Drosophila melanogaster: one gene and its partner. The protein of the gene in region 1 interacts with the protein of each later gene in a pairwise test. Each region holds a gene or a part of one and is shown on either strand. Other genes may lie near its edges.

Evidence for each region.
Region 2: the proteins of CG2104 (region 1) and FoxP interact in a two-hybrid assay, tested with the Drosophila melanogaster proteins (one large-scale study listed by BioGRID).

Annotation. Positions count from the first base shown.
Region 1 is NT_033777.3:5,690,135-5,695,303, reverse strand, and holds CG2104 (uncharacterized protein), read left to right. Parts: upstream 1-2,017; 5' UTR 2,018-2,061; coding exon 2,062-3,336; 3' UTR 3,337-4,413; downstream 4,414-5,169.
Region 2 is NT_033777.3:9,725,489-9,733,106, reverse strand, and holds FoxP (forkhead box P), read left to right. Parts: upstream 1-2,234; 5' UTR 2,235-3,673; coding exon 3,674-4,212; intron 4,213-4,270; coding exon 4,271-4,448; intron 4,449-4,504; coding exon 4,505-4,682; intron 4,683-4,741; coding exon 4,742-4,786; intron 4,787-4,871; coding exon 4,872-4,948; intron 4,949-5,015; coding exon 5,016-5,117; coding exon of another isoform or gene 5,118-5,180; exon of another isoform or gene 5,181-5,489; coding exon of another isoform or gene 5,490-5,699; exon of another isoform or gene 5,700-5,956; intron 5,957-6,093; coding exon 6,094-6,537; 3' UTR 6,538-7,087; downstream 7,088-7,618. Other genes in the region: alphaTub85E (alpha-Tubulin at 85E), read left to right, coding at 304-828, 957-1,778; hyd (hyperplastic discs), read left to right, coding at 7,582-7,618.

The DNA of each region.
Region 1 (5,169 bases):
GTCATTCACCCTGGCATGACATTTTAAATTTAATTAATTTCCTTTGACACTTGACGAAGGATTCATGCTGTCCATCACAGGCAATGCCTCTCTTCGTTTATTGAGTATCGAATTGAGGGTTTTGCAAAGGCTTTGTTGTCTGGTAAATTGTAATTTTAAAATAGAATAGCCTTTCTACCATTTACCTTTTATATCAAATGGGTTTTAAATTGTATTCACTCGGCAACCTTGGAAAATATCCTTTAGATGCCATTTTTATGATAATTAGTAGGTTACATTTACAACATAATGGAACTCTTCATTTTATTTTTAGTTTTCTATTATTATTAAGTTGTATATTCTTCTTTTCAAATTGTTTTCCCTAATTGTTATGTGGCACACTGCGTATACGTAATCTTTTCACTGGCTGGAACAATTGACTGCTTGACCTCTTTTGGCCATTCTTTGGGTACTCTCCCCCTTTCTTCGCGATTCCTAATTGGAATCAAGTCTCATACTTGATGCAGTCACGTTCCCAGGTGCATTTACTTTCGAGCCGAGCAGTGTACATAAGTGCATGTTAGGGTGGACCAATTGTTGATGAACTATTCAAAAGTGCAGTGTATTATTTCTTTAGCGATGTTCATGATAAATAAATACCCAATAAATAATGTAAGCATAATGTTGAGTAAAAATGAACAGGCAATTTTAAGATCTTTTTGATTTTTTAATTGTATCGCTCTATGGTCCACCCACACATATTCATTTGCTTTGAAGTGCAGTTAGCGTCATTTCAAAAACAGCTGGGGAATGAAGTTACTGTTTTTGCATTTGCATTTGCCTTTGCACTTGCCTTTGCACGTTGTTGTTACATTTGCCCGTTTGTTGTTGTCATTAGAATCGTTGCCAGGAGCAGAAGTCGCGTGTTTTTTCCCCGTGATTTATACGATCTAACTGTTTTTCCATTACATTTGCGTGCCCCAGCTGCTGTTCGTTGTTTTTGTTGTTGTTGTTGATGTGGTGACTGTTGCCTAATAAATTGTCTACAATTGTTCATTGCACTGCATTATGTCGTTGTTGTTGTTATCATTGTTGTTGTTGTGAACGTTGGCGCAGCTTAGCATTATAATTAGCTTTAACTGCAGTAACTGTTGTTCTGCTGTTGTTACTTCTGACGTCTTAATAGCGAGTCGCCAGCTATGAAATATGGCCCTAACTATCCACAGGGTCACTCCAAAGAATAAGGGTAAGCTTATATAAGGGGGCAACTCCATCCGCACCTTATTATTTATCGTAAGTGGTCATTAAAGGTTCTTGCTAAGGGATGGGGAAACTTCTCGCTACTCTTGCATCACATACAGCACAATTGCTGCGTCGTACTGAGCGTATCTTATAGATATATATCTTATTTATACCCGTTACTCTTAGAGTTAAAGAAGCGACCCTATAAAGTACCCTATACTTAATATTCTTCATCAGGATCAATAGACGAGTCGATCTTGGGATGTCCCTCTGTCCGTCCGTATGAACGTCGACCTTTCAGGAACTATAAAAGCTATAAAGTTGGAATTAGGCATGCAGAGATTCAGAGATATAGATATTTTGTACAATAATTCCTTTCAATATGTTAGACAAATTTTTAAACTTCTCGTTCGCACTTCCACTATAGTGCTGAGTAATGGGTATCTGATAGCCGGGGAACATGACTTTAATGATATCTATTGTTTTTAATTTAATTTGAAAATCCTATTCTCTTTATTATTATTAATTGGAAAATCCTTTTCTCTTCATTATTATTAAAAAAAAAAGGGTTCAACACATTTTAAGAATATATTTCAAGCTTTAAATGGGTACTAAAGCGTAGTAGTTATCATTTTTAAATAAAGATCAATATAAATAAAAACGGCATCTAACTCAATTATCAAGGAGTTTTAAAAATGAGATAAATATTTACCCTAAATGTATGTAAAATAGGTTTTAGTTTTGTGAGGCTATTGAAACAGTTGTTATAGCACTCGATTTTCAAGCACATGACAACCTGAAAACCATTGACACAAATACAGACTGTAGAAACTCAAGGAGATGGAGCCGCAGAGTGAGGTGAATCCCAAGCGGGTGGCCGCCTTCTTCCGGAGAAGCAACATAGGACCCGTGTGCCGGGTGCAGTCCAGTTCGGACATGGAAGCCTGGCTAGCCTCAAGGGCGTACTTTACACTGATCACGTACTTGAACGATGTGAGCGCCGAGATACAGGGAATCCGGAACACCGACTTGTTTCCAATCAGTAAGAACATCAAGCGACTGACGACCATCTTCGAACAGCTGGACTCCATGATTGTGGCCAATTCTCCGGCGCCGCTCGTTCTAGGTGCCAATATGGATTCACGAACCAAGAGCTACAGACGCTGGGCGCACGGCATGCTAAGGGACATATACAAGATTGTGGAGAAGGCGGTGCCCTCCAGCAAGTGCAGACACGTCAACGAGCTGGGCGTGTATTTATCGGGCTCCTTCGGCAGCTCCGCCAAAATCGAGTACGGGACCGGGCACGAGCTGAGCTTCCTGTTTTTCGTGTGCGCCCTCTTTAAGGCCGAGATCCTCGATAAGGAACAGGACCTGGCCGCCTCGGCTTTGGTTCTATTCGATCGCTACTTGCACTTTGTGCGCCGCCTGCAGGTAACCTATTCCGTGAACTCGTCCAACTGGCATGGTGGATACTCGCTGGATAAGTTTCAGTTTGTGCCATTCGTTTGGGGATTCGCACAGTTGTGCCACGAGGCACCTTTCTCCCCAAAAAAGATGCTGGACGAGGACACCATTGCCAAGTACAGGGACGCGTACATGCTGATCAATTGTGTGGGCCACATGGCAACCACCAACGTCGGCACCTTTGCCCGCCACTCCAGCCAGCTGTGGAGTCTGGCCGCCCTGTCCTCGTGGACGAAGATCCATCGTAGTCTGATGTTCATGTACATGGAGGACATCCTTATGGACATTGACAACCTGAATGCCCTGCGCTTTGGTGAACTGATGTCCTTCGAGGAGGACAAATCTGGCCGGCATCTGGGAAGCGCTCGTATGGGAGTGAAGTCTCCGCTGCGCCGACAGATGGCGGAGGATCCAGACGACCAGGATCAGGACCAGGACCTTACTTCGAGAAGCGGCACCCCCTCCATTTCCAGATCGGAACAGAACGATAGTGCCAGGAAGAAGGCCAAAGTGGAGGAGACCTCCAGCGACTGCATGTCCAACAGTGGCCTCTCCCTGGGCAGCGAATGTACATCTCTCAGCGGCGTTAGTGTCCATCTGCCCACTTGGTTGGATGATTGTACGGCCACCAGCAAGAACGCGTTTTAAAATTAGGGGTTTTGTGATTGGTGCAATATCTAAATATTCAAAATCGAATGCTCTATCATAGTCAATTTTTCGTTTGCAAAGTATCTGTTTGTCAATAACTATAAGCACATTTATCCAATAGTAAACAATGATGGCAAATACTATACCGAAATGAAGAAATATTCCAGCTTCGTGTAATGCGAATATTATGTGTGTCATCTGCACGAATATCCGGAAGCAACATCAGCAATCTGCAATGTGCAGCATAGCAACGACGTCAAGAGACCGCAGATGGCATACATGGGTCCAAAGATCAGCAGACCACGAAACCGACTTCCATCATGCGAGGCAAAACAGCAGCCAACTGGAATGCAGTGGCCTGGCTATGTGGCACAAGCTTAGTGTGTATCCGCCAGGAATATAACGCATACGCCGCGTGAGCCACCGAAGAGCTCGAGGACAGCGGGCTGGCGACGGCGATGGCGATGGGGATGACGATGAAGTGCGAAGGCATTTATGCCACTGCAGAGAAGAAAGCAAACTCTGGGTTGGGGGACTAGGGGAGTGACGCGACTCAAGTGACTCGACCAAAAGCGGATTACCAACGCGACTTGAGTGACTTCCCGAGCAGGAGGTGGCAAAACAGCTAGAGTGGCAACAATTGAAGCGGCGGTAACAGCAACAGCAACAACAGCGCCGCAGCAGAGGCGTGTTGGGAAAATGGAAATGAAAATGAAACAAGCTGCGTATTGATTTTTCCTCTTCAGCCCCATCGCTTAACTCAACTCCCTGGCGTTGTGACGTCAATGGGCCACCAGCACGCGCCAACATAGCAAGGGGATGGAACTCGGTGGGGAGGACAATTGGGAGGCCCACTACCTGAAATCCTTGGCAGGCCGCAATCGTGCTAACCAAATGTATCGAAGGGGAATGCTCTGGGTGAACCAAGCGGGCATCCCTCACATTCTTTGTGGATTAGAATTCCCCAATTTACAGTAAATACATACGTTGAAGCCTCGATGTTGGCCAAGTGCGTATAAAACTTGATTTATAGCAGACGGCAATAAACTGACGATGGTCAAAATTCTAACGATTTACAAAACTACATTTTATTATTTATGATATTAATCTTAACTTTTAACACTTTCTCAGTTAAAAAACCTTTGCTAGCAAAAAGTTTGCATTTTTGAATTTGAAAGGGTTTACATTTTTTCATTTGAATAAAATTCTTTCCAGAATAATTTTTATGATCTTTAGTTTAAATGCAAGAAGAACAACAGGCGCTGACTGTGGCAAGTCAAATGTGAGTACCTTTCCAAATCTGCCAATATATAATGAAAACATAGAAAATATGTAAAATAAGCTATGTTGTCACCAAAAAAGCTATGAAAATATATATATTTTTAGACTTAATAAACTTGCATTCCTTATTTGCGGAAATATAGTTCAGACGATTGGATAAGATTGAAATTGAAAAGAAGTTTACATACCTTATATCTGCTATTATATAGGCTGTACAAGTTATATGTCACTTCATTACAAACTACAGACTGAAATTTTAGATCCATTTACAAGGCTATAAGAGTCCCAAGGTCCCTTTATTATCCTAATTGCTTACTTGGGAAATATTAATAGCTACAACCAATATAATTCAAATATAGGGAACAAAAGCAACTATTTGCATTGGTTGTGTTATCATCAGCGCACCGCACTATCTAAATGGTTTCAACAAATGCCAACAATGACTAGCCACTAACAACTATATTTGGTTTATATCCAAGAATAGTTTTCCATTCAACACTCTTTTGGTGAAGACTCCAGCCAACTGCCATAAATCTTCTTCGCAAATTGCAA
Region 2 (7,618 bases), 4.0 Mb from region 1:
TTGAAATTTCGTCGGCTGCACAGAACTATGGATCCTTAAAAGTCCTTATATGCGATTTCATGCAAAACTAGACCATATGGTGCAATATTTATTCATTTTTGCAAGTGATTAATTAATGGTTTTAAAAAATATAACTGCTTGTAAACTATTATCTTAAATGAATACCCAAGAACTTACAGCGATCAAAATTGTTTGTAGCATATGGTCCAAATCACAGATTTGCAACCGGAAGTCCAAAGTTAAATTTTAGAATTACCCAAATTTACAGCGACATGAGTCACATTATTATAAACTCTGTTCCAGAGGGAATGCATTTCGGTTCACATTGGCCAAGCTGGTGTCCAGATCGGCAATGCCTGCTGGGAACTTTACTGCCTGGAGCACGGCATCCAGCCCGATGGCCATATGCCCTCCGATAAAACCGTGGGCGGAGGCGATGACTCCTTCAGCACCTTCTTCAGCGAGACTGGAGCTGGTAAGCATGTGCCGCGTGCCGTGTTCGTGGATCTGGAGCCCACTGTGGTGGATGAGGTGCGGACAGGAACCTACCGCCAGCTGTTCCATCCGGAGCAACTGATCACCGGTAAGGAGGATGCGGCCAACAACTATGCCCGCGGCCACTATACCATCGGTAAGGAGATCGTCGACGTGGTCCTGGACAGGATTCGCAAGTTGGCGGATCAGTGCACGGGTCTGCAGGGATTCCTGGTCTTCCACTCCTTCGGCGGCGGCACTGGCTCTGGATTTACGTCGCTGCTGATGGAGCGCCTGTCCGTGGACTATGGAAAGAAGTCAAAGCTGGAGTTCTCCATTTACCCAGCACCACAAGTATGTCATTTGCATATGGATATTATATCTATTGCTTGAGCATTTATAGAAGACCAATTAACATAATTAGTAAAAGACATGGGAAATTAGTCTTCGAAAGGCAATCTAATAATCGAACTTCCTGTTAGGTGTCCACAGCTGTGGTCGAGCCATACAACTCGATCTTAACCACCCACACAACGCTGGAGCACTCGGACTGTGCGTTTATGGTTGACAACGAGGCAATCTACGACATCTGCCGGCGCAACTTGGATATCGAGCGACCCACCTACATGAATCTCAATCGCCTAATTGGCCAGATCGTTTCCTCCATTACGGCCTCGTTGCGCTTCGATGGCGCCCTGAATGTGGATCTGACCGAGTTCCAGACCAATTTGGTGCCCTACCCACGCATTCATTTCCCACTGGCGACATACGCTCCCGTCATTTCCGTGGAGAAGGCCTACCATGAGCAACTGACCGTGGCCGAGATCACCAATGCCTGCTTCGAGCCGGCCAACCAGATGGTCAAGTGTGATCCGCGTCGTGGCAAGTACATGGCCTGCTGCATGCTCTACCGCGGTGATGTGGTGCCCAAGGATGTGAACGCAGCCATTGCCACCATCAAGACCAAGCGCTCTATCCAGTTCGTCGACTGGTGTCCCACGGGCTTCAAGGTGGGCATCAACTATCAGCCACCCACCGTTGTTCCTGGCGGAGATCTGGCCAAGGTGCAGCGCGCCGTCTGCATGCTGTCCAATACCACTGCCATTGCCGAGGCCTGGGCCCGTCTGGATCACAAGTTCGATCTGATGTACGCCAAGAGGGCCTTCGTCCACTGGTACGTGGGTGAGGGCATGGAGGAGGGCGAGTTCGCCGAGGCTCGCGAGGATCTCGCTGCCCTCGAGAAGGACTACGAGGAGGTAGGCATCGACTCCACCACCGAACTGGGGGAAGATGAGGAATACTAGAGAAAACGTTGTCAACAAATGATACAGCCATTACAACTTTATAAACATCACTTTCTTTCTACCAAATACCAATGCATAAAACAGTTTCGCAATAAAACAGTTTAACACAATTGCTTAAAATGGCTTATTTAAATGGGAAATATTCGTCTTTAGATGGAATTTAACTTTTGTGTTAATAAGAATAAAACTTTCTCATATAAGGAAATTGGTAAATCATATATTTATTGGAAATTACCCCTCCGTAAAAAACCCTACTTATCACTTTCTTATTGCTTTAAATATTAATATTAATTGGGCAAATTAATGTTGACTTTTAAAAGTTTTTAATTTTTGAAATCGTTACGTGTAATGGAGCCTTAGGATGCATTTTGAAACGCATGCGCAAAAATGTGTACACATATTTCTAGCAAATTCAGTAGTCGTAGACGTACCTTTTCAGGAGTAGCAGCGAAAAATATTCTTAAGATAGTTTTTAAGTTTAAATTAATTTTACATATATGTGAAAAGTTGTATTAAAAAATTCGCCCGTTATTAAATATAATATTGTTCTTTGGAAACCTCTGTGAATGTTATTTAATTGTAAATGTACATGCAAAATTGTATCCTCTTTTGTCTGCAAAATTGTATGTGCATGTATGTATTCGCAAAATTTAAGTCTAGTCTGTTAAGTTAATTAAGATATTGTTGAGTAGTCTAGGCAGACAACTTTATCTTAAAAGTCCCAGTTTAAACAGTTCTTATACAGAAATTGTATGATATGTATACATATGAAATATGAATATTTTATTTACCCATATATACCCCTTGGAATAATCAATGCCCCCAACGAATACAGACAATGCAAATCTACACAATACCAACAATATATTTATCTTTATTCGCCTTTACACAAAAAGCTTATGTATATCGAATATAATACTATTTTTTCAGGATCTTCGAATGTGATGAAAACCATACCTCTCTCTTCTCTTTTATATCTTTCTTCTTTTCCTATAAAACATTTAATACTTACATATTTCACCATTTACATTTATTCTTATTTTAGGTGGCTATATAATTTTTCATTACAGGAATTTGATTAAAACAATCGTAAGATGGTCCTATCTGCAAAACTCATATACTCTTCCATTTAAGTTCATCCTATAGCCAAAACGTCCGTCCGTTTTTATATCCGTTTGTCCGTCCGTTTGTATGTCCTTCCGTTTGTATGTCCGTTTGTCCGTCCGTTTGTCCGTCCGTTTGTCCGTCCGTTTGTCCGTCCGTTTGTCCGTCCGTTTGTCCGTCCGTTTGTATGTCCTTCCGTTTGTCCGACCGTTCCGTCTGTATGTTTCTTATGTTATGTATGTTGTATATGTTTCTTTTTAGCAAAATAAGATGTGTCTGGTTTCCTTGCCACCTATGCAATCCCCTTGTGAGATCTTAAACTTGTTATACGCCTAAATATGATAAATGCTTTCTATGAATAACCTTTATATTTACAGATTAACTGCACCGGATGACGTGGCATTTTATTTGTAACATATTTAAAATTAAATCAAACATTTAAAGAATGTTTAATTTAATTTACACTGAATTCATTTAGCACTGGGCCTTTAGTAGGGGTTAAATCTTATATGCGCCAAGTTGTTAAATATTCATAACTTTTGGGGAAAGTATCATCTCAATGATAGTGCGGGAAAATTAAGCTGAAATTAAATAGGGCGTAATAAATAGAAATCCTTAAACTATCACTCTGATTCGGAGTTTTACAGGAATGGCGGCATATGAGTAAAGATAGTTTTATTGAAATGACTCCTAATGACAGACGAAAAAGAGATTATTTCTGTGTATTTGCATATGCCCATCTCTTGGGTAAAGGATCAATGGTAATGATTATAAATTTCAGTTTTAAAAACATGCATCGGATACATGACGACGAGTATTCCGAGGATGCCAAGGAATCGGACTTTAAGAGTTCGATTCAGAAGGAGATATCAGTGAAGTCGAGACACCAAATTTCCATACCAGACATATGCTCAGATGCTGTTAAGAACAATTGTTTTCCGCCGACTGGCTTTCTCAATAACTCGATCACCTTTGCCTCACATGTAGTTAAGTGCAGCTCACCGGCCTCGAGCATCGATGAATCCTCAACGGCGGCCCAGCAGCACGAATCCAATCCACACATGCATATACAGGGTCAGCATATGATGGCTCCCGTTCCCGATCTGGGTTTCTACAATGTGCCCGAGTTCATATCCGAGCAGGAGAAGCTCATGTTCTCCGATGCAGAGAGATTCTTGCGGTCGAAGGATAATGAGGTGTGCAACAATGATTTCAGCTATATGCACGATGAGTTCGCCATGCGGAAGTACTATCATCCGTTATTTGCTCATGGCATATGCCGTTGGCCTGGTTGCGAAATGGATTTGGAAGACATCACATCGTTTGTCAAGTAGGTGGAGTACAATTAGAGGTATGAAATAATTATATAGGGTATGTTATCTAACTAGGCATCTGAATACGGAACATGGTTTGGACGATCGATCAACAGCACAGGCACGGGTTCAAATGCAAGTTGTCTCCCAGCTGGAATCCCACCTGCAAAAAGAACGAGATCGCTTGCAGGCAATGATGCATCACTTGTATTTGTCCAAGCAGCTTTTGTCTCCCACCAAAATCGACAGGAAGGTAAGTCCCTTTTTATGTGAGTAAGTATTGGTATAATGAAAAGTTATAAATATAAGGACGTGCCCGGAAGAGAGGGAAAGTTTTGCCGGAGTCCGCTTACCGTAAATAGCATAGGCCGACCCATCCGACAAACAAATTCACCGAGTCCTCTGAATCTTCCAATGGTTAATTCCACCAACTTGTGCTCGATCAAAAAGAGAAACCACGACAAAAATACATTTTCCATAAATGGGGGTAAGTTTGGGAAAAATTTACTATTACTGTATAAAAATAATAATGGTTTTTGGATATAGGATTACCCTATATGCTTGAAAGAGCAGGTCTTGATGTGCAACAGGGTAAGTAAATTATGTAGACTGATCGTCTTGATGACTATTCGTCTTGTGCTTCTGGAAGACATATAATAAGAATTTAAATTTGCAGAAATCCATCGAAACAGAGAGTTTTATAAGAATGCTGATGTACGACCGCCTTTTACTTATGCTTCCCTCATAAGACAGGTAATTTTAAAAACCAATTTCCTAATATAACATTAATTTATTTTTTTTATATATATTTTATTTATAGGCTATAATTGACTCCCCTGACAAGCAGTTAACCCTAAACGAAATCTACAACTGGTTCCAAAACACATTTTGCTACTTCCGGCGCAACGCAGCTACGTGGAAGGTAAAATGCCCCATATATGTAAATCTTCTTTCCTCCATATTATCTATATATTATGCAACATAACTTTAATTTGAGTATTTATGCTATATGATATGATATCTATGATCTGATATGACCATTTGTCCGTCCGTATAACTCTCGTTTGTCCGATTGGCGTTCCTAGCTTGTCCGCTGTATATATACTATATACTACCTTTTCCACATTGTCCACTACTTTGCCAATATTTAAGAGTATAATAGAGCTAAATACAAGTGATATATAACAAGGTAAGCTACACAGGTCAGATCCTGTTTTATTCCATTTCCTTTTTATATGTCTTAAAATAATCAAATTAAGTTTGGCCTATGCTAACTGATAATATATATCATTAGAACGCAGTCCGGCACAATCTGTCCCTTCATAAGTGCTTTATGCGGGTTGAGAATGTGAAAGGAGCAGTTTGGACTGTCGATGAGATTGAGTTTTACAAAAGACGACCGCAGCGCACTGCTGGCATTGGTAACAATCTAACCGGTGCTACCAATTCGCCGGACACTAACTATTTTGTAGCCATGAACATTGGGTATGTGGGTCTCAAATAGTTTAATTCTACTCACTTTGCTCCAAACTCCTTCCGTTTTGCTCTGTTAGTAAATATACATATGCCATTGCATGCATGCTCCTATATCGAAATGATATAATATGACATTATACGATCTTTTTACAGCGCAAATTGTAAACAGTGATTCTAATCTCTTAGTGGTAGAAACCCAAAATGATGTCCGTCTGCTCATCGATCTGTCTGTCTGTCTGTCTGGAATTTAGCTGATGAAGATTATCCAGGATTTCGCGTGTTATGAAAAATGAAAATAAGAAGACCGAAGACAAATGAACTAACCTTAATATCTCAATGAACTTTTTCTTCCTTTCACGATAATGCAATTTCCTGTTTCTGACTCTTGATGGGGCTCTTGTTTTGTCCAACCAATCATAAAGAATGCGATTCGTACGAACCTTTCCTTACACAAGTGCTTTGTACGTTATGAAGATGACTTTGGCTCGTTTTGGATGGTCGACGATAATGAGTTTGTCAAAAGGCGGCACTTGTCGAGAGGGAGACCCCGGAAATATGAACCGTCCTCCTCCCCAAATTCATGCCAATCCGGCAATGGTGTGCCCACTGATAAGAATCCCTGCGACAATTGTACGCAACATTGCACTAGTTTGCCACCGGGTGCTGATAATCCTCTAGATTCCAATAATCCAAATGATTTAGGCAGAATTGGTTGTCTTCCCTATTGCGGTAGTGATGGTTTAAGTAAAGCGTCCAAGGACTATAGCAATATGGACTCGGGTATGATCGAAAGTAACAGCCACTTGACAATCGATGAATATTCTACTAATATGTACGAGAGTAGTGCCAATGAGCACAATCGATAAATAATATATCATTAACTATACATATATTTAGATGCATTGTCGAGTAATCTGCGTTTGGTAAGAAGGTTCGGATTCGGAAATTATATCTGTACATACACATGGTTCTATGTATAATTTCCCAAATAGAAATGAAAAAATACTTTTAAAATAAATTTCACTAATGCTATAAAATAAACGAAAGAACTACGTTAAATTATTAAAGCAAAATTAATGTGTTTAAACTTGCTTTAATAACTCCACTTATAACACGATTTTAATATACGAGTACAACATATATGAATATTTTCACTTTTCAGCAAGGGAGAAAACATTTAAAAGCTATAGCTTGATAAAATTTTAACAAAACTGTTTTAAAAGTCACAATATGATTTTTTTTTAAGGAAACTATTTTCAGGTATACCTTCTGTTAAAAATCTGGACCCTTGAGAGCTTTAGATTTGGAAACTCCTTAGTAAACGTATATGCTTTTCTGCTGACTTATCTAATTTCCTTCTAATTTAAGATCATTAACGATACTCAGTGACCTAAATAAATTCCTCAAATATACAACAAAGTGAACAAACTGAATTTTATTTCTAGTTCCTAAGCAAACGGTTTACGCGACGTAAAAGCGGTTAAATCGGCTTCTCAAAAGTTTGTCAATCAAAGTTTTCTACCAATTCATTATTTTAAAGCGGTCTTTAGTATATTTTAGTATATTCTATTGGAGATTTTTTGGACTGCCACTATTTAAGGAAAAACAACCGATAAGAATGGACGCATTCGTGAACTTCTGTATCTTAAATTTAATAAAATATATACAGCCTAAGTACACATATTGTAGTCAATGTCAATTTAATTTGAAAGTAAAGTTTTTGTTTACCAATAAATTTGTTTGGAGAATGTATCGATACCGTCGAATTTTCCGGCAACCATCGATACAGTCGGGCGGCATCGGTTTTCGTCCCAGCTCTAGCCAGTACGGTCACTCTGAAAGTCTCTCAACGTTTTGTGACATGAAAATTCAACGAGGACACTGTGTACATGAATAGTTGAAAAATTAAAATGGTTTCCATGCAATTTGTTTTGCAACCGCTACCGG